Linked DNA regions of Arabidopsis thaliana. The protein of the gene in region 1 interacts with the protein of each later gene in a biochemical or structural test. Each region holds a gene or a part of one and is shown on either strand. Other genes may lie near its edges.

The links.
Region 2: the proteins of DET1 (region 1) and PIL5 form a complex in vitro, tested with the Arabidopsis thaliana proteins (one study listed by BioGRID).
Region 3: the proteins of DET1 (region 1) and PIF3 form a complex in vitro, tested with the Arabidopsis thaliana proteins (one study listed by BioGRID).

Annotation. Positions count from the first base shown.
Region 1 is NC_003075.7:6,344,141-6,350,077, forward strand, and holds DET1 (light-mediated development protein 1 / deetiolated1 (DET1)), read left to right. Parts: upstream 1-2,270; 5' UTR 2,271-2,402; coding exon 2,403-2,474; intron 2,475-2,555; coding exon 2,556-3,218; intron 3,219-3,292; coding exon 3,293-3,484; intron 3,485-3,782; coding exon 3,783-3,851; intron 3,852-3,946; coding exon 3,947-4,003; intron 4,004-4,109; coding exon 4,110-4,190; intron 4,191-4,272; coding exon 4,273-4,434; intron 4,435-4,506; coding exon 4,507-4,602; intron 4,603-4,674; coding exon 4,675-4,774; intron 4,775-4,866; coding exon 4,867-5,006; 3' UTR 5,007-5,174; downstream 5,175-5,937. Other genes in the region: AT4G10170 (SNARE-like superfamily protein), read left to right, coding at 447-1,211. UniProt on the Arabidopsis thaliana protein: Component of light signal transduction machinery. Involved in repression of photomorphogenesis in darkness by participating in the CDD complex, a complex probably required to regulate the activity of ubiquitin conjugating enzymes (E2s).
Region 2 is NC_003071.7:8,703,066-8,709,143, reverse strand, and holds PIL5 (phytochrome interacting factor 3-like 5), read left to right. Parts: upstream 1-2,139; 5' UTR 2,140-2,359; exon of another isoform or gene 2,360-2,595; 5' UTR 2,596-2,605; coding exon 2,606-2,703; intron 2,704-2,791; coding exon 2,792-3,497; intron 3,498-3,629; coding exon 3,630-3,707; intron 3,708-3,796; coding exon 3,797-3,862; intron 3,863-3,944; coding exon 3,945-4,010; coding exon of another isoform or gene 4,011-4,025; intron 4,026-4,116; coding exon 4,117-4,455; intron 4,456-4,535; coding exon 4,536-4,619; 3' UTR 4,620-4,704; intron 4,705-4,784; coding exon of another isoform or gene 4,785-4,868; 3' UTR 4,869-5,120; downstream 5,121-6,078. Other genes in the region: AT2G20170 (NEP-interacting protein, putative (DUF239)), read right to left, coding at 5,749-6,078. UniProt on the Arabidopsis thaliana protein: Transcription activator. Negatively regulates chlorophyll biosynthesis and seed germination in the dark, and lightinduced degradation of PIF1 relieves this negative regulation to promote photomorphogenesis.
Region 3 is NC_003070.9:3,073,708-3,080,612, forward strand, and holds PIF3 (phytochrome interacting factor 3), read left to right. Parts: upstream 1-2,060; 5' UTR 2,061-2,145; intron 2,146-2,693; exon of another isoform or gene 2,694-2,751; 5' UTR 2,752-3,508; coding exon 3,509-3,579; intron 3,580-3,670; coding exon 3,671-4,550; intron 4,551-4,638; coding exon 4,639-4,746; intron 4,747-4,837; coding exon 4,838-4,903; intron 4,904-5,135; coding exon 5,136-5,201; intron 5,202-5,276; coding exon 5,277-5,660; 3' UTR 5,661-5,947; downstream 5,948-6,905.

The sequences.
Region 1 (5,937 bases):
TTGATTCATTACCAATTTTAACTTGAAATCATGCTAATTTTATACTTTTAACCAAAAAAAATCATGCTAGTTTTATCAATTTCCCCTAATTTATTTGCGATTTGTTACATACATATAGAAAATAATAATACATTTTTTTTAGTGTTGTGGACCACGTCCTCTAGTTTGGTCGTCGAGTTCTGACTTTTTCATCACAAAGATAAACATCTCAAACAAAAAGCTCACACATGACCCAAGAACCCTAGAGAGAAGAAGAAGAGGAATGAGAGAATTCATCCTCGATTTTGAAGACATCGCCGAAGGATTTTGTTGGTACTTTCTTCTTCTCTTTGACTTTCTCTCTGACTCCATCATCTCAATTTCTCTCTTCTTCTTTGCTCTAATCACAGACTTCTCTTCTTTCCTCTTCTGTCTCAATTTGATTTCTTAAAAAAACAAAAAAAAAGATGGGTTTAATCAAGAACACAGTTCATTACTGTTGTGTCTCAAGAGACAATCAGATTCTTTACTCTTACAACGGTGGAGACCAAACCAACGAGAGTCTTGCTGCTCTGTGTTTAGAAAAGTCTCCTCCTTTTCATACTTGGTACTTTGAAACTATTGGTAAAAGAAGATTTGGGTTTTTAATTGGAGATGGGTTTGTTTATTTCGCCATTGTTGATGAGGTTTTGAAGAGATCTAGTGTTCTTAAGTTTCTTGAACATTTGAGAGATGAATTTAAGAAAGCTGCTAGGGAGAATTCTAGAGGAAGTTTTACTGCTATGATTGGTTCTATTAATGTTGAAGATCAGCTTGTTCCTGTTGTTACTAGACTTATAGCTTCTCTTGAACGTGTTGCTGAGAGTAGTAGTAACAATGAATTGAAGAGTAGTAATCTTGGTGAACAAAGCGAAGGTTCGAATTCTACTAAAGCTCCGTTGTTGGGGAGGTTAAGTAAGCAAGAGAAGAAGAAAGGGAAAGATCATGTGATTGAGCTTGAGGAACACAGGAAGTCTAATGATAGAGGGAACATAACCGATGATTCAGCGGGAGCTGGAACGTCGTTGGAGAAGGAGTGTGTGTCGAGTAGTGGACGTTCTGTTACTCAAAGCTTTGAATGGAAATGGCGGCGGTTAGTTCAGATTGTTCTTGCTATTGATGCAGCTATTTGCTTGACACTGTTTGGTATTTGGTTGGCTATATGTCGGGGTATCGAGTGTACACGTTCGTGATTGTGCAGACAGAAAATCGGATAAACAGAGTCGATTCTTTACATTCCCTTGTGCATTCCAATAGGCAAAAAATATGTTGATTGTAATGTGAAGCATTCTTAAGTTATAATTTGGCTTATGTATTGCTTTAGTCACAGCTTTGAAATATGTACAGTCGGATTCTAGATTCTGTTCAGTGTTCTTTGTGACTTCACGATACAGTAACGTCCATCTTTATATGATTTAAATTGTTTGAGCTTCAACTTCAAACTCAATCCTCTTTCAAGTTCCCTAAGTAAGGCCCTCACTAGCAAAGAAGCTGGCTTTGAGATGCATAAGGCTTTACCAACAAGTGTATTGATTGTATGATTCGTTCCAACAAGTGTATTGCCACTGCAGTTCTTGTTGTTACCGATCAACAAAATGGGAAGTAAAAAATGGTAGGTAGATAGGAACCGATCCGAAAAAAGTTCCGAAACCGAACTGAACAGTCACAAAATCCGAACGGATAATGAATTCACCTACCCAAATTACTTCAGCCGAATCCGATTCCGAATCAAAAACCGAATAAATATCCGCTAATCCGAAATAAAATTATATCTATCTAAAAATATTAGTTACAGGTTTATACCCAAAAATTTCTAAATAACAAAAATATTAGTTACAGGTTTATACGTCCGAATTTTTAAGTTATATTTGTTACAATTATACAATTTTTTTTGCAAAATTAAACCAATTTTATTAAAACGGAACAATATATATTTTTTTTTCTCAAAAACCGATCCGAATCCGACACTATCCGAACCGAAACCAAACCGAATAGTCATAAAACCCGACCGGATAATAAACTTTCCCATCTGAATCCGAAAATCCGAACCGAATCCGATCCAAAATCCGATCCAAAATGTGAATGTCCATACTTAAGCTCCGACTAAGCAAAGCAATACAACAAGAGAAATTGTACAAAGAGGAAGTAGTACCGATAAGTGCCAATGACCCAATTTTGCAACTATTGGGCCATTTTCAAACACCAATATCAGGCCCATTAACAGATTGAGAGAAACCAACCTCCCAAAAGAGAAAAATCAACAGAACCAAAACAAAGCCACAGTATCTCTCTCTCTCTCTCTCTCACTCACATCGTCTCCTCCATTTTCACCACTAAAACCAGACCAAAAACCTTCCTTTATTCGTGCCCTTCTGGGCCAACAAATGTTCACAAGCGGTAACGTCACCGCTCGGGTCTTCGAACGTCAGATTCGAACTCCTCCTCCCGGCGCTTCCGTCAGTCCCCAAATCTCTCTCTCTGTCTCAATCTCTCAATCTCAATCTCTCTTTTGCTTATCTCTTTACCTTCAATGATAGGTAAATCGTGCAAGACACTTCTACGAAAACCTAGTCCCAAGCTACACACTCTACGATGTCGAATCTCCCGATCACTGTTTCCGCAAATTCACAGAAGACGGACTCTTCCTCATTAGTTTCAGCCGTAACCATCAAGAACTCATAGTCTATCGTCCTTCTTGGCTCACTTACTCCACAACCGATGATTCCACAACCACCCTACCTCCTCTACCTCGCCGTGCTTCGAAATTCGACAGCTTTTTCACTCAACTCTACTCAGTCAATCTCGCTTCTTCTAACGAACTCATCTGCAAAGACTTCTTCCTCTATCACCAAACTCGTCGTTTCGGTCTTTTCGCTACTTCAACAGCTCAGATCCATGATTCATCATCTCCTTCTAATGACGCTGTTCCTGGTGTTCCTTCCATTGATAAGATTACTTTCGTACTTCTTCGATTAGATGATGGTGTTGTTCTTGATGAGAGGGTTTTTCTTCATGATTTCGTTAATCTGGCTCATAATATGGGTGTGTTTCTTTATGATGATCTTTTAGCGATTTTGTCGTTGCGTTATCAGAGGATTCATCTTCTTCAGATTAGAGATTCTGGTCATCTTGTTGATGCTCGTGCTATTGGTTACTTTTGTCGTGAAGATGATGAGCTTTTCCTCAATTCTAGCTCTCAGGTAAGCAAAGTTTTTACAGTATCTTTCTCTGGAGTAGATAAAGTTTTGAGCTTTGTGAGGTTTTTGATTGTTAGGCAATGATGAGTCAAGATAAGAGTAAACAGCAGAGTTTATCTGGGAGTAAGGAAGATGATACTGGAGAGAATGGGTTGCGTCATAGTCTAAGTCAGCCAAGTGGTTCGAATTCGTTTCTTAGTGGTGTTAAGCAACGGTTACTTTCTTTTATCTTCAGGGAGATTTGGAATGAAGAATCAGATAACGTAATGGTTCGTTGTTCTTCAACTTCTCTTATCACTTTATGAAATTGCTCTGAGTTTCACAATCTTGTACATTAAATGGGTTATGTTTGTGTACTGCTTGGCTTCCTCTGTTAGATGTTGAGTAGGATAACAGAAGTTTAAGGTTTAGGATTGATGCAGTTGACAGTGACTTCTTAGTTGATGCAGCTTATCATATACATGCTCTTTGCATTTTCGACCTTTCGTTGTAGTTTGCAATGTGTGTCGTATTGAAACACTACATCTTGGATACGAACTAATCGAAAGGCACTATTTGATTTGACAGAGAGTTCAAAGTCTTAAGAAGAAGTTTTATTTCCATTTCCAGGATTATGTCGACTTGATTATATGGAAGGTAATCAATTATGTGTTTCTGCTTTTGGAATCTGTGTCAAGTGTTTGGATTTGATGGTGAAAAAAACTAATCTTTTGTGTATTCTTGATGTCCAGGTTCAGTTTTTGGATCGACAACACCTGCTAATCAAATTTGGAAGTGTAGACGGTGGGGTAAGCTCTCTATAATACAAATTCATGGTTACATTGAACTGATACTGTCATTTTCAGAAATTACAATTTGATTGATTAGACTTATGATTGTTGATGGGTTACTCAGGTAACAAGAAGTGCTGATCATCATCCAGCTTTCTTCGCGGTGTATAATATGGAGACTACTGACATTGTAGCATTCTATCAGGTAAAATGGATGTCATTTTGGCCAGTTATTTTGTGGAATTTGCATCTACTTATAACTTGACTTAGTACATTACTATATGCAGAACTCAGCAGAAGATCTTTACCAATTATTTGAGCAGTTCAGTGATCACTTTACAGTATCAAGTAGTACACCGTTCATGAACTTTGTAACATCGCATTCTAACAACGTCTATGCCCTTGAACAACTAAAATACACGAAGAACAAATCAAACAGTTTTTCTCAGGTAAGTACATCTCTGTATTTCGATATGTTGGTTTTTATGAGAGAGTTGAATCTAATCAATTTTTCTATACAGTTTGTGAAGAAGATGTTACTCTCTTTGCCTTTCAGTTGTCAGTCACAAAGTCCCTCCCCATATTTCGACCAGTCTCTCTTCCGGTTCGATGAAAAGGTAACCATTCTATAAACCCTTATTCTCTTCAACTTCAGGATTGAGTTAAGTTAATTTCGGATATGGTTACAGTTAATATCCGCAGCAGATAGGCATAGGCAATCCTCAGACAACCCAATCAAGTTCATATCTCGAAGGCAACCGCAAACCCTGAAATTCAAGATAAAACCAGGTTGGTTGTTTTAGTTGTTTAGATATTAAGATGACGAAAACCCAAACCGCACGGAACATGATTTAACGTTAGGATTGTCTAATGGTGAACAGGACCAGAGTGTGGAACTGCAGATGGTCGAAGCAAGAAGATATGTTCATTCTTGTTCCATCCTCATTTACCACTTGCCATCTCTATTCAACAAACACTTTTCATGCCACCTTCTGTCGTCAATATCCATTTTAGGCGATGACTCTTTTTGGTTTCTATCAGTCTAGTAGTCTTCCTACATGTTGTAATCTATTGTTTGTAACAAAAGTTCAGTAAAACCTCTATAAATTCCGAGTTGGGCCGATGTAAAAATTAACAAACTTCGATAAAATAATAATATAATAATCTTTTGGAAAGCTTTATATAAAAATATGGTTTTAATGTCTTTTAAGTATTGAATCTTGTTAGAGTTTGTCTCTAACTTTTATTCTATCAAACAATTGTTTTGTCTCTAAGTCTGATTGAATTATGTTGGGGTTTTCAATTGTCAAATTATAGAATCGTTTATAACTTTGTAAAAAAATTAGCCATAATGTTTTGTAAGTTTCTAATTTCTTAGTATGCATCATTTTCAATTATAGTTTTTGTGATTTATTGTCAAATGAGCTTTTTAAATATTAAATTTTCAATTATATTACTATAAAATTTATAACATCTCATAGTTTCTAAAATTTGAAAAATTAAAACAAATATCTCTATAAATTAATAATTTAAATTTAAATTAATATATTAATTATAGATAAATTATTAATCACTATAATTAATAAAATATCATACTTCCATCTTTATTAATTTATAGAGGTTTTACTGTATCTCAAAACACATAATACATGCAAAAAGTGTTTGAATCTTAAAAAGGAAGAAATAACTAGGAGGTGTTATTGGTTCCTAACTAAAAAGAAATTTTGAAGACTTTAATAATATCATATAAAGTAAATAAATGAAAGATTCTAAACTATAAACTATTTGTAGAGAGTTTTCAATAATATTATTGATTAGTTTTTCACAAGGTTCAAAAAATCGGCCTAGGCGGCCCGATTTTAGTGAAATCGGTGAATCAAATAGGGTTTTCGGTTTAAGCGTTCAAAATCAGTATTAACCGGTCAAATCGGCCAGTTTAGTATATGTAAATA
Region 2 (6,078 bases), on another chromosome or scaffold:
AAAAGCTACATACAATTGCATAAGCATATGTAGTCTATAAGACGAGATATATATGATAATTTTCGGAATATTATTACTTAGCATTTTGTTTAAATATAACCACAATCAGGCTTTAATTTCAGTTTTTGTCTTGTCATTTGCATCTAACATAAAATATTATATTTTACTCTAAAGAACAAAAACGCAAATCATTATTATTCAATCAAAATTTTTTACGACTTTTTTATCAGGAGATAATATTTTTTTCTATTTTGCGTTTTGTTTAATTTAAAGTAACTTTGATGGTAAATCAAAATATATTTTAGATAGGTACAAATCATTTTAGCGGACAAAAAAAATGTACAACAGCAAGAGGGTGATTTAGCAACAAAATTTAGCTTGAAAAAATTGATGTTTATAGATTATGTCTAAATCTGAATAAAAGAATAAATAATTAAGTTTGATAGATCATGCAAGAGGGTGGTTTAGCAACAAAAATAAACATATTACCCTGTCTCATAAATCATTGAGATTATCAATAAAAAAAACACCCAATTTCTGTCTTAATATTGTCCCCACCAATGTGAGTCCATATCTGATTCTCTGTTTCTTTCTTCCCTACTTGGAATTATATAAAAATATGTATATACATATTAATGTGTATATATATATATATATGTGCGTGTTCCCATATCAATGATAAATGCTCTTTATCAAAAGGTAAAATGATTATAAAAAAAAATAAGTTGTTTCATTTTATTTGTTGTTTTCAATGCAAAATTTATTATTATTTTATTATTTTTGATTCTTGAAATTCTGCAACTTTTTATTGGTTAAATTATTTTAAAATATGTAATTAAACATATTTTTAAAATTTAAGAAAACAGAAACTAAATGATCTTAATCAATGTACCAAAATCTTAAACTAGAACAAAATAGAAACAAAAGAAGTATTATAGAAGAAATTAACACTTTGTTCACTAACTTGACTACTATAAATGATTATAAATTAACACTTTATGTAGCATTCGACTTTTCTGTTTATAGAAGAGGAGACTCACTTAAGTCTTTAATATCATGTTTGCATATGTTGTAGTCTTTTGTTTTTAACATCTTTGGATTGACATGGTCTATTCTATAGCCAATATCTATTATGCAAGATAACACGATTTAGTGGAGTCAAACTCTGGTGGAAAAAGCGGAATCAAATGGATTTAACCACAAGACTAAAGGAATATTTCCTGCAAGATATATGTAGTCTTAAATCTATAATTTAGCGATATAAAAAAGGACAATTTTTAAATATGATACTTAAGTTTTTGTTTATTTCTTTAAAAATACCACTTAATGTTTGGTTTCTTAAAATAACATAAAACTTAAATTTAACTTCCAACATTCAAAATTAAACTCTAAACTTTAAACACTAAACCCTAACCCCTAAAAACAATATCTTAAAATTAAAATGGTCAATTCAAACTTAATTTTTTTAATTCTGATGAACTCTTGAAAATCAAAATTGAAGTATAATATTTTTGGAAAACAAAACTTTTGGTGGTATTTTGACAACACAACTTGAAAGTGTGATATTTTGCTACAATACTCCTCTAGAATTCGAGGCTCCCTTAAAACAAAATATTATTTTCGTGTCAGTCATATTTTTTTGAGACATTTCTCAAAATACCACATTTTCAAGTCTTATTGCTAAAATACCATTTCATCCGGTATTCGATCTTCTATCAAAAGAAAATTATATTCATGTAGGATGTCTAGGTTTGGTCCAGACAAGTTAAATGGTAATCTGGTAACATGCGATTCAGTTATGTTTAAGTGTTAATCAGTTAATATTCTAAACTCGGAATAAATGTGTGATGATCCTTGAATATAAATTTATTTTGTAATACTTAAATATATTTTTACCAAAATTAACCGGATCATTGGATAAAGTTTATAAAATAATTTTTTTTTGATGATAATGCCATGAAAACAATTTATAGTACGGATGAGAAACAATGAGGCTGATTATTTTATCTCCGTCAGCTACAAATGATCTCAGACATTTTGTTTTTATGTTCAACTTGGTTTTTTATTCAGAGGTTAAAAAATGGGCACAAGTTTCTATTCAGACACATACACACATAAATAAAATAGAGAATTCACTGTTAAAGTTAGTTGACACAATAGTAAATGCGATACATGCTAGAGTCACGGAAGAGGCAAAAACAAACTCCAAAGAGAGACATATAAGAAAAAGACAAAAACCCTTAAGAAGCTTATCACATTCTTAAAGCACGAAAATTCAGAATAAGATTCAGTCATCCTTTAGCACAAAAAAAAAAAAAAAAAGATCCAGTCATCCAATACTAGTTCCCCAGAAATAAAGGTGATATATTTTTTTTTTTGAGAAGCCTATCCAGTACCAACCTCAATTCTCTAGGTTAGATATAGTCTGGGTAGTATATATGTTTCTTCACTGATTAGTAATCTCTGTGTGTAGTACACTTACTCACTAGTGCTACTCTTTTGGATCTTTCTGGGGTTTTTCTTTTGGTTATAAAACCAGAAGAAGAAGATAACTGTTTGTTATTTTAATACTTACCATTATCATCATCTTTGTAGAGAGAGAGATATGCATCATTTTGTCCCTGACTTCGATACCGATGATGATTATGTCAACAACCATAATTCTTCTTTGAATCATCTTCCTAGAAAATCCATTACTACTATGTAAGTTCTTTTATTCAAACTTATATTAAAAAAAAAAAAAAGTTTGATTAGTTCAAGATCTGAGTATTTATAGTATTGAAAACTTTAGGGGTGAAGATGATGATCTTATGGAGCTTTTATGGCAGAACGGTCAAGTTGTTGTTCAAAACCAGAGACTTCACACCAAGAAACCTTCTTCTTCTCCACCGAAGCTTCTTCCTTCTATGGATCCTCAGCAGCAACCTTCTTCAGATCAGAATCTTTTTATTCAAGAAGATGAAATGACTTCTTGGCTTCATTATCCTCTCCGTGACGATGATTTCTGCTCAGATCTTCTCTTCTCCGCCGCACCTACTGCGACGGCTACCGCGACGGTGAGTCAAGTCACCGCCGCGAGACCGCCAGTATCTTCGACGAATGAGTCGAGGCCGCCGGTGAGGAACTTCATGAATTTCTCGAGGCTGAGAGGGGATTTTAATAACGGTAGAGGTGGTGAATCTGGACCGTTGCTTTCGAAGGCGGTTGTGAGAGAATCTACGCAGGTAAGTCCTAGCGCAACACCGTCGGCGGCGGCGAGTGAATCCGGTTTAACACGGCGGACGGATGGTACTGACAGTTCCGCCGTAGCTGGAGGCGGCGCGTATAATCGGAAGGGAAAAGCAGTGGCTATGACGGCGCCGGCGATCGAGATAACCGGTACATCGTCATCTGTAGTGTCAAAGAGCGAAATCGAACCGGAGAAGACGAACGTCGATGATAGGAAACGAAAAGAGAGAGAAGCCACCACTACTGATGAAACTGAATCCCGTAGCGAGGTGAGTCAAAAAAACACAGAACAGAGTCGTTGTTAGCTATCGTGCGCAAGTCAAATACGGCGCATTTTAGTCTGACTTTGTAGTTTTCAGCGCATTTTTAATTAACTTTTTTGGTGTTTTCTTGTGGTGCAGGAAACAAAACAAGCACGTGTATCAACAACATCTACCAAGAGATCTCGTGCTGCTGAAGTTCATAATCTCTCTGAAAGAGTACGTTTGTGTTTTTTCTTATGTTTTTGTAATCTTTTTCGATAAAGATTTCGCAATGAATCTGAAGAATGTCGCGGATTTGGTAACAGAAACGGAGAGATAGGATCAATGAGAGAATGAAAGCTTTGCAAGAACTTATACCTCGCTGCAACAAGGTCTTCGACGATCTTTTTTCTTTCTCTTCAAGTTATTGTATACGTTAACCTTGTTACTGATTGTTGTTTCTTTGATCCTCAGTCAGATAAAGCTTCGATGCTAGATGAAGCTATTGAGTACATGAAATCTCTTCAGCTTCAAATACAGGTTCATTTTCTTTAAAGGATTCTAAGTCTTGAAAGCCCTTTTTAAGTTCTTGAAAATGTACACTTTACCATGAAAACTCCAGTTTATATGACTGAGATTAATGCAGATGATGTCAATGGGATGTGGAATGATGCCAATGATGTATCCGGGCATGCAACAGTACATGCCTCATATGGCGATGGGTATGGGTATGAACCAGCCTATTCCTCCTCCTTCCTTCATGCCATTCCCCAACATGTTAGCCGCTCAAAGACCTTTGCCTACACAAACTCACATGGCCGGGTCAGGACCGCAATACCCTGTTCATGCTTCTGACCCGTCAAGAGTCTTTGTACCGAACCAGCAGTATGATCCAACCTCGGGCCAGCCTCAGTATCCAGCTGGTTACACGGATCCATATCAGCAGTTCCGCGGTCTCCACCCGACCCAACCACCTCAGTTTCAGGTACTAAACAGTCATCTCTTTCCCAAAAATGACTAGTTCCTCTGCTTACAAGTCACAAGTTCTTATCTTTCTTATTTTAGAATCAAGCAACATCGTACCCAAGTTCGAGCAGGGTGAGTAGTAGTAAGGAATCTGAGGATCACGGAAACCACACAACAGGTTAATAATGTCCATGGAGCAACAAGAAGATCTGTTTTCACAAGCAAACACAATTTCTTATCCGACCCGACCCAACCACCTCAGTTTCAGGTACTAAACAGTCATCTTTTTCCCAAAAATGGCTAGTTCCTCTGCTTACAAGTCACAAGTTCTTATCTTTCTTATTTTAGAATCAAGCAACATCGTATCCAAGTTCGAGCAGGGTGAGTAGTAGTAAGGAATCTGAGGATCACGGAAACCACACAACAGGTTAATAATGTCCATGGAGCAACAAGAAGATCTGTTTTCACAAGCAAACACAATTTTGAGAAATTGACAGAGAGACCTAACATGTATATATATCGCCATCTGTTTCTTGTTTTTCTTTGGTTTGTTTTGTCCTCTCTTCTCAGGTTGTATACTTAGAGAGCTGTACATGTAATGATCCAGAGATCTAGGAATCAATACATAGAGGTTGCAGAGGCTTAGTGCAAAGAATAAATATGAGAAAGTTAGGTTCATATACATACCCGATCATTATTCTTTTCTCGTCTATTATTATTACTTTTGACGAAAGCAATTCTTGATTAAGCTTAACAGTGAATATTTACAAATGTTCCACTCCCAAGTCCCAAAGACTTATCGATACAAATGCACAAACAAATCTTAGTCCTTGCAACTAAGCTCACAATGTGACACAAAATATGTAAATAGACGGACAAAAGCCAGCAAACAAAAGCAAGAAAATTAATGATGTAATTGGCCAAGCATTGCCCATTTTGTAGTGTCTTTCATAGGATCTCTTCATCTAAAAACGTAGTGATGTCAACTAATATGGTATCTCCAGTCCATGACCATAATATCGAAAATATAAAGCTAAAAGAAAAGGCAAACAAATTTCTCAAACCGTTAAGACTTGCTATCTCCATGACCATAAGACTTGACAAACATGCATATATATGTATCAAACCGTTAAATCAATTTTGTATTTGCTTAATAAAGAAGATGTAAAAAGAAGTTTAACATTTATAGTATTTGAAAACTTATATATTAGTATTACTATTTCCTTATTTTTGTCAAAGTTATTTTACTATATATTTCCTTAACACATCAAAATAGAAGGTATACTTATACGTAAATGACCTTAAAGATTTGTTAAGTAATGGTGCATCCTCCTGGTCCTCCATAGAAAATTGCACTAGACCACTCCTCACCGACCCCTGTTTTTGTTTCGACTTTATAACATTTTGGGCTGTTTGCGAATAATCTTAAATCTTTAACTGGTGGACTTCTAATTTTTTCTATTTCACGATCTATCACTTTAAGGCCGTTCACAAAAGCTGCCTTTTTGAAACCTTCTTTTGGGAAATGTCCACTTCCCATGAGTGGGCTTGTACTCTGTCTCAGTGCACTGAAAACTTCTCCTCCCCAAAACACACGACTTGCTCCATAAGCTAAACCTTGAACATGAAACAATGATTTTGG
Region 3 (6,905 bases), on another chromosome or scaffold:
GCCAAAATCATTTCATAAGACATCCCAAAATCTTTGGAATAATGATTCCATGAATGAAGAATCCTAATTTGAATATACCAAGAGGTTTTGAAAGGTTTTAAGTTTTTGATAGGTGTGTATGTGAGAAGGTACATCCATCGTGATGGTAATCTGCTTATTTATAATTTTAACTTGCATTATACAGCAGATAGGCTTATATTTTAGTTAAACTAAAAACTTTTATTGTAAAATTGATTATAAATATATGATATTATTTTATTTGATTTTAAATGTATAGAAACTACGAGTTGTATATGTTTTGTTGATATTATTTATATTGTTTAGTGTTTAAAATTATATACTTGTATTTTGATTGTTAATTTTAGAGTTTCACATGTAGTATACCATCTTGTATTAATATTGATTTAAACCCGTCAATTGTAGGATTTTTCAGCTTGTATTAAAAATTGAATCACATCATACACATTAAAAAATCTAATATGTTATTAATTATTGTAGTATATAAGATTATAAATTTTAAAATAATATGTATGAAATTGAATATAAATATTCAAATTATGACACAGTACTCAGTAATTTTTTTTCTTAAATCTACTTTTGACCCGTTATAGTATTTTTTTCATGTACTGAACAATTTATATTCGTTTTTAAAAATTCAAATTGTGGCATATGCGAAAAAACTCTAATTATTTTTTTATAACGATGATATTATTTTTTCGCAAAAATAGAATCATATAAAGATGAGAGGTGAATTATAATAATTAATAAAAAATTAATATGATAATATTGATATCAAATCTAATTTGTTGATTTTAATTGGTTACTTTTTTGGAAATTAATAATGTATTTCGTTTTTGAGTTAAATTTAATTAATTAAATTAGTATTTGACTTTTTAATTTTTAAAGAAATGAATTAATTTACTCTTTAAAATTTTATTTCTAATGGCATACGTATGTAATTACTTACAAAAAATAAGGTTACATTTTAAAAATTAATATGATAATTTAGATATCAAATCTAATTTGTTGATTTTAATTGGTTACTTTTCTGGAAATTAATAATGTATTTCGTTTTTGAGTTAAATTTAATTAATTAAATTAGTATTTGACTCTTTAATTTTTAAAGAAATGAATTAATTTACTCTTTAAAATTTTATTTCTAATGGCATACCTATATAATTACTTACAAAAAAGAAGATTATATTTCAAATGTACTTCCCAAATAATATAGTAGGATCACTTCCATTCCGAGTTTTCTTCTTTCTTTGATATATATATCTACTTATTTATTTACTCGGTTTGATTTTATAATAAATTTGTTTATAATTATTTTCTGAACAAGAGATGGCCATAAAATACAGTGATGAAATCAATAATGGTCCATGCAAATGTACTCAAATTATCCACTTGGAAAGTTTATAGTATACAATGGGTTGTTACGTATTTTAGAATCTAATTTGCATGGCGATTTAATTGACATTTCATCATCAACCGAGCTATAACGAGAGATAAACCAGAAGATGCAACGTTCGTGAACAAACTCGACTGATATTCTAGATGGTTTTATTTATTTTTTACTTATAGAAAGGAACAAATTAGATTTAAAGATAATATGCTCTAATCTAAGAGTTTGGAACCACTATACCACATACTATATCCCATGATTAAAAAAAATCTCAATTATTATAGCGCAAATGATTGGTTTTCATCAGTTAATAGAACTTGCTGAGTGAGTCCCCAAATTTGAGGATGATTAGTAATTTAGTATCGTAAAGACTAAAAAAGACTTAAGAAAAATAGTAATGATTAGAGAAGTCAAACCTTTAATAATTAAGATAGATAAAGAGAGACAAGGTTGCTCAACCCCACTTGGAGTGTGATGCTTTTTTGGCAGTGTTCCTTTATGATAACACATCTCTTCACACACAACTTTAGTGTATCACAGGCCCATGTCACTTTAAGATAAGATAACATATTCTAGTATATGATTATTTTCATATTTGTAAGTGTATTAAATTATTCATAGACACACCATGAATTAATTGTAATAATGCGAAGGACCTGTATCATGTAACAGAGACAGACGAAGTGTGCAGAGGTCGGTGAGAAGCAATTTGGTCACCATGCTCCAACTCTCTTCTCTAGGTCCCTTTTGCTTTAATTTTCTCGTTTAATAACAATATCTTATGAAAGCAGTTACCATATCAATTGAAGGATTGTATAATACCGTAATTTATTTATATATAGTACATCTAATTAAACATTAATTATTTCTACTAATAGCCTAAAACCACTACTAATACAACAACTAGTACTTGTTTACGATAATTATTAAACTTGTCTCGATACCTACAACATGCCCAAAAAAGTAATCAATACTTTGTTTAATCACAAAGATCTCAGTGAGATGGTTCTATAGATAGTATTTCTGATTTGTTAGTATATTAGAGAATTGACCATCTATTAAAATAAGAGAATGAACACTATTTGATAAAACAATACATACGCAATTATCATTGTCTTTAATTTTTATCAAAGTAATCATACGATCGACTATTTGTATGCAAAAATTCATCATTTTATTTGCAAAAAAAAACAAACAAACATGGTAGAATTGTATTTGGTGTGTGTTTTAACAAATTGTTGCAATGTTTAGTGCAACATATATAATCCACTATATATAATCATTGACATAATTAATATTTGATTATATGAAGCAATTTCTCTTTAATTATGTGTTTATAAATATAGGGAGAAAAGAAAAATAGAGAGAAAGGTAAAGAGTAGAGCTAATGATTCGGGCGACGCTAAAAGGTTGAATGTTCGAGAGAAACGGAGTCTCAGAGACTGTGAAAACAAAAAATCAAAATCCTCAGTTACAGACGATTTGGTCCCCTCTCTTCTCTCTCTGCGTCCGTCTTGTGCGTCGATTTGTCTCCATCTCCTTCTCTCTCCGCCTACTTTCTCAGGACTACTCCAATTCGCCGACTTTTTCTCCTCTGTTCTCTGCATTTGGATTGATGCCACTTTAATACTTTGAGGTTCTCACTCTCTCTTTCTCTCTTCGCTGACTTCGATTGCTTCAGTACCCTTTTTCTCAGGTCAGCTACGATGATAGCTTTATTCAGACAAGAAGATCAAAGTTTTGATCTTTTTGTTTTGGTTTTCTTAAGAGATGGTTAATTAGGTCTTGAGTGCGCTGTTTTGAATCGTTCTTCAGTGTGATTAAACAATTGGTTTTGATTTGACTAATCATGTTGCCATTAAACTAAGTGAAAATCTCTGCTTTTTTTATATTGCATATTGATGATTGAGACATTGATTTCTTTTCTATTTCTTTATTTCCCAGTTTCTAATTTGGGAACTGAAAAGTTTTCTAATTTAAGCATTACAAAGTGTACAATTTTTGTTTCTGGCAAGTTTTTCTTGGCCTAATTCGTCTATTTTATGAATTCACCTTTTTAGGATCAAGACTTCGTAAAAGATTGTTTCTGTAAAACGCAACACCATGCCTCTGTTTGAGCTTTTCAGGCTCACCAAAGCTAAGCTTGAATCTGCTCAAGACAGGAACCCTTCTCCGTGAGTCCCATTCACTTGTCTCTCTTTAAGTCTGCCTTGTTTCAAGTTCATCAAATTCATGTGTTTTTTTGTTGTGTGTGAAAAATAACAGACCTGTAGATGAAGTTGTGGAGCTGGTGTGGGAAAATGGTCAGATATCAACTCAAAGTCAGTCAAGTAGATCGAGGAACATTCCTCCACCACAAGCAAACTCTTCTAGAGCTAGAGAGATTGGAAATGGCTCAAAGACGACTATGGTGGACGAGATCCCTATGTCAGTGCCATCACTAATGACGGGTTTGAGTCAAGACGATGACTTTGTTCCATGGTTGAATCATCATCCCTCCCTTGATGGATATTGCTCTGATTTCTTGCGTGATGTGTCGTCTCCTGTTACTGTCAACGAGCAAGAGAGTGATATGGCGGTAAACCAAACTGCTTTCCCGTTGTTTCAGAGAAGAAAGGATGGCAATGAATCAGCTCCTGCTGCTTCTTCGTCGCAGTATAACGGTTTCCAATCGCATTCTCTGTATGGAAGTGATAGAGCTAGAGATCTTCCTAGCCAACAAACCAATCCGGATCGGTTTACTCAGACGCAGGAACCACTAATTACTAGTAACAAGCCTAGTTTGGTCAACTTTTCACATTTCTTACGCCCTGCAACTTTTGCGAAGACTACTAATAATAACCTTCATGACACTAAAGAAAAGAGTCCTCAAAGCCCGCCAAATGTGTTTCAGACCAGAGTTCTTGGAGCTAAAGACTCTGAAGATAAGGTTCTTAACGAGTCTGTTGCTTCTGCTACGCCTAAAGATAACCAAAAGGCTTGCCTAATATCAGAGGACTCATGTAGAAAAGACCAAGAGAGTGAAAAAGCAGTTGTATGTTCTTCTGTTGGCTCGGGTAATAGTCTCGATGGCCCATCCGAAAGTCCTTCACTTTCTTTAAAGAGAAAGCATTCGAATATTCAAGACATTGACTGTCATAGTGAAGTGAGTTAAACTCATGTCATTTTATGCACATTACAATTTCGTTTCTTTGTTGTTTTCTTCAGTTTTTTTATTGAATATTGTTGAGCAGGATGTGGAAGAAGAATCAGGAGATGGAAGAAAGGAAGCAGGTCCATCTCGAACGGGTTTGGGTTCAAAGAGAAGCCGCTCTGCAGAAGTGCATAATCTGTCTGAAAGGGTGAGTGAGTGAAGCCCCTAAAGGGTTTTTGTCCATTCTCAAACTCACAAAAGATTGCTATATTTGGTAACTTACTGTCCTCAATTTTCAGAGACGGCGTGATAGGATCAACGAGAAGATGCGTGCCCTGCAAGAACTCATTCCAAACTGTAACAAGGTCAGCTTCTTCTCCTTTACAAATACCATTCATGATTCATTTTTGTTTGAAAGATAAGGAGCAATGCCAAATAAACTAAAACTTGCATCTTAGAACGAATTGCTAAAGGTTTTTGATTGGTTTCCGTATTTATTAAACCGGAAAAACAATTGAAACCATATTGTAAGCAAGATTGTTCAAGCCGAGAATTTTCGTATTTAATCAGCTTTTGTAACATTTATATGGTTTAAAGGTGGACAAAGCTTCGATGCTAGATGAAGCCATCGAGTATCTCAAGTCACTCCAACTTCAAGTGCAGGTAACACTCTCATTACTCTCTAGAGTCGATAAAAATCGTGCAAACTAATAATCTAAACACAATAATCGCCAACAGATCATGTCAATGGCGTCTGGTTACTATCTGCCACCGGCGGTTATGTTCCCACCGGGTATGGGGCATTACCCGGCAGCAGCTGCTGCAATGGCAATGGGTATGGGAATGCCTTATGCAATGGGCTTGCCTGATTTGAGCCGTGGTGGTTCATCGGTTAACCACGGACCACAGTTCCAAGTCTCGGGGATGCAACAACAACCAGTGGCGATGGGTATTCCACGTGTCTCTGGTGGTGGTATCTTTGCCGGTTCTTCGACGATTGGCAATGGCTCGACTAGAGATTTATCTGGTTCTAAAGATCAAACAACGACGAATAACAACAGTAACTTGAAACCAATAAAGAGAAAACAGGGGTCTTCTGATCAGTTTTGTGGATCGTCGTGACATAAATACAAACTTATGAACTGATGTATTGTTTATTTGTAGCATTCAAACAAATCTATTTTATAATCCTAAACAAAATTAATTTGTGTTCGTTATAACAGTGAAGAGCTTTGTGCTTATTGGTGGGTTCTGTTCTGTTTCTTGTTTTGAATTAAAAAATGTTTTTAATATTTTCAAAGGTTTTGTTCCCTTTTTAATGTAGCGTGGGGTTCACTATATAGATGGACCTGGTTAAACAAGCGTGATGGGCTTCTCAGCCCATTTTGTTAAATAACTTAATTATGACATTTTCTTTCGATTTCCTTTTTTTTCTTTTTTTGGGCCAGGACTATTGAACTAGTGAAGCTGAATATATACCCACGCGAAAATTGAAATTATTGGAAGTTTTTTTTTTTTTTTTTTTTTGTTGGAACCTATAGGGTGTATATAAGTTACATGATACACGGTGTTTGAGCGCATCACTTAGCTTGATATGTAGTTTATGTTATACGTAGTAAGTGATTCGCTCACGCATGACTGTTACGTTTTCTTTAACAAAAAGAAAGGGAATCGATGGTTAGGGTTAGGTCAACGATCGGAGGAGTTGAGCTAGAGCCTAGAGAACCATAGTTTGGAAGAGGGCAAATGTGAGCTCCTGATTTGTTTCTCGGATGCTGGAAGCTATATATATGTCCATGATTGTATCGATTGGGAGTTTTGTCGAAAGTAAAAAATTTCTTCCTCAATTCTTTAGGAAGTTTGTTACTTTGTTTTATGTTCACAAAACGTTGTCAACTTCTCGTAGATGCTTGTTTCTATAGTTAGAGATGTTTTATATACCCAGCCTGCCAGCCAGCGAGCAGACTTTTATTAATAGTTTCCCCTATATATAGGCTATATAGCTTTAGCGTAAACTTAAGTTCTGTGTGGTAAATCGCGTCTTCACAAACATTTTTGCACCAAAGACTTCTTAAAAGTAATATATAGAAGAGAAATTTAGATGATTCTGTCCTCGTTTAAATTGATGAGACTTATTAAACTTAAGTAATGCATAATAAATAAAACATTAAAACCTTTAGTACTGAAAAAGGTAGTCTATATAGTGGAAAGCAGAGAAGAACAAAAAAGGGTTTATACTTCCATTTAGATTTTGTATCTTCTAATGGAGGTGGATTAGACAGCTCTAACTAATTACGAAAGACAACAAGCAGTAGAAAATGGACACGTCGAACACCTAGGGAGACAAATTAATGAATTACACGAGGT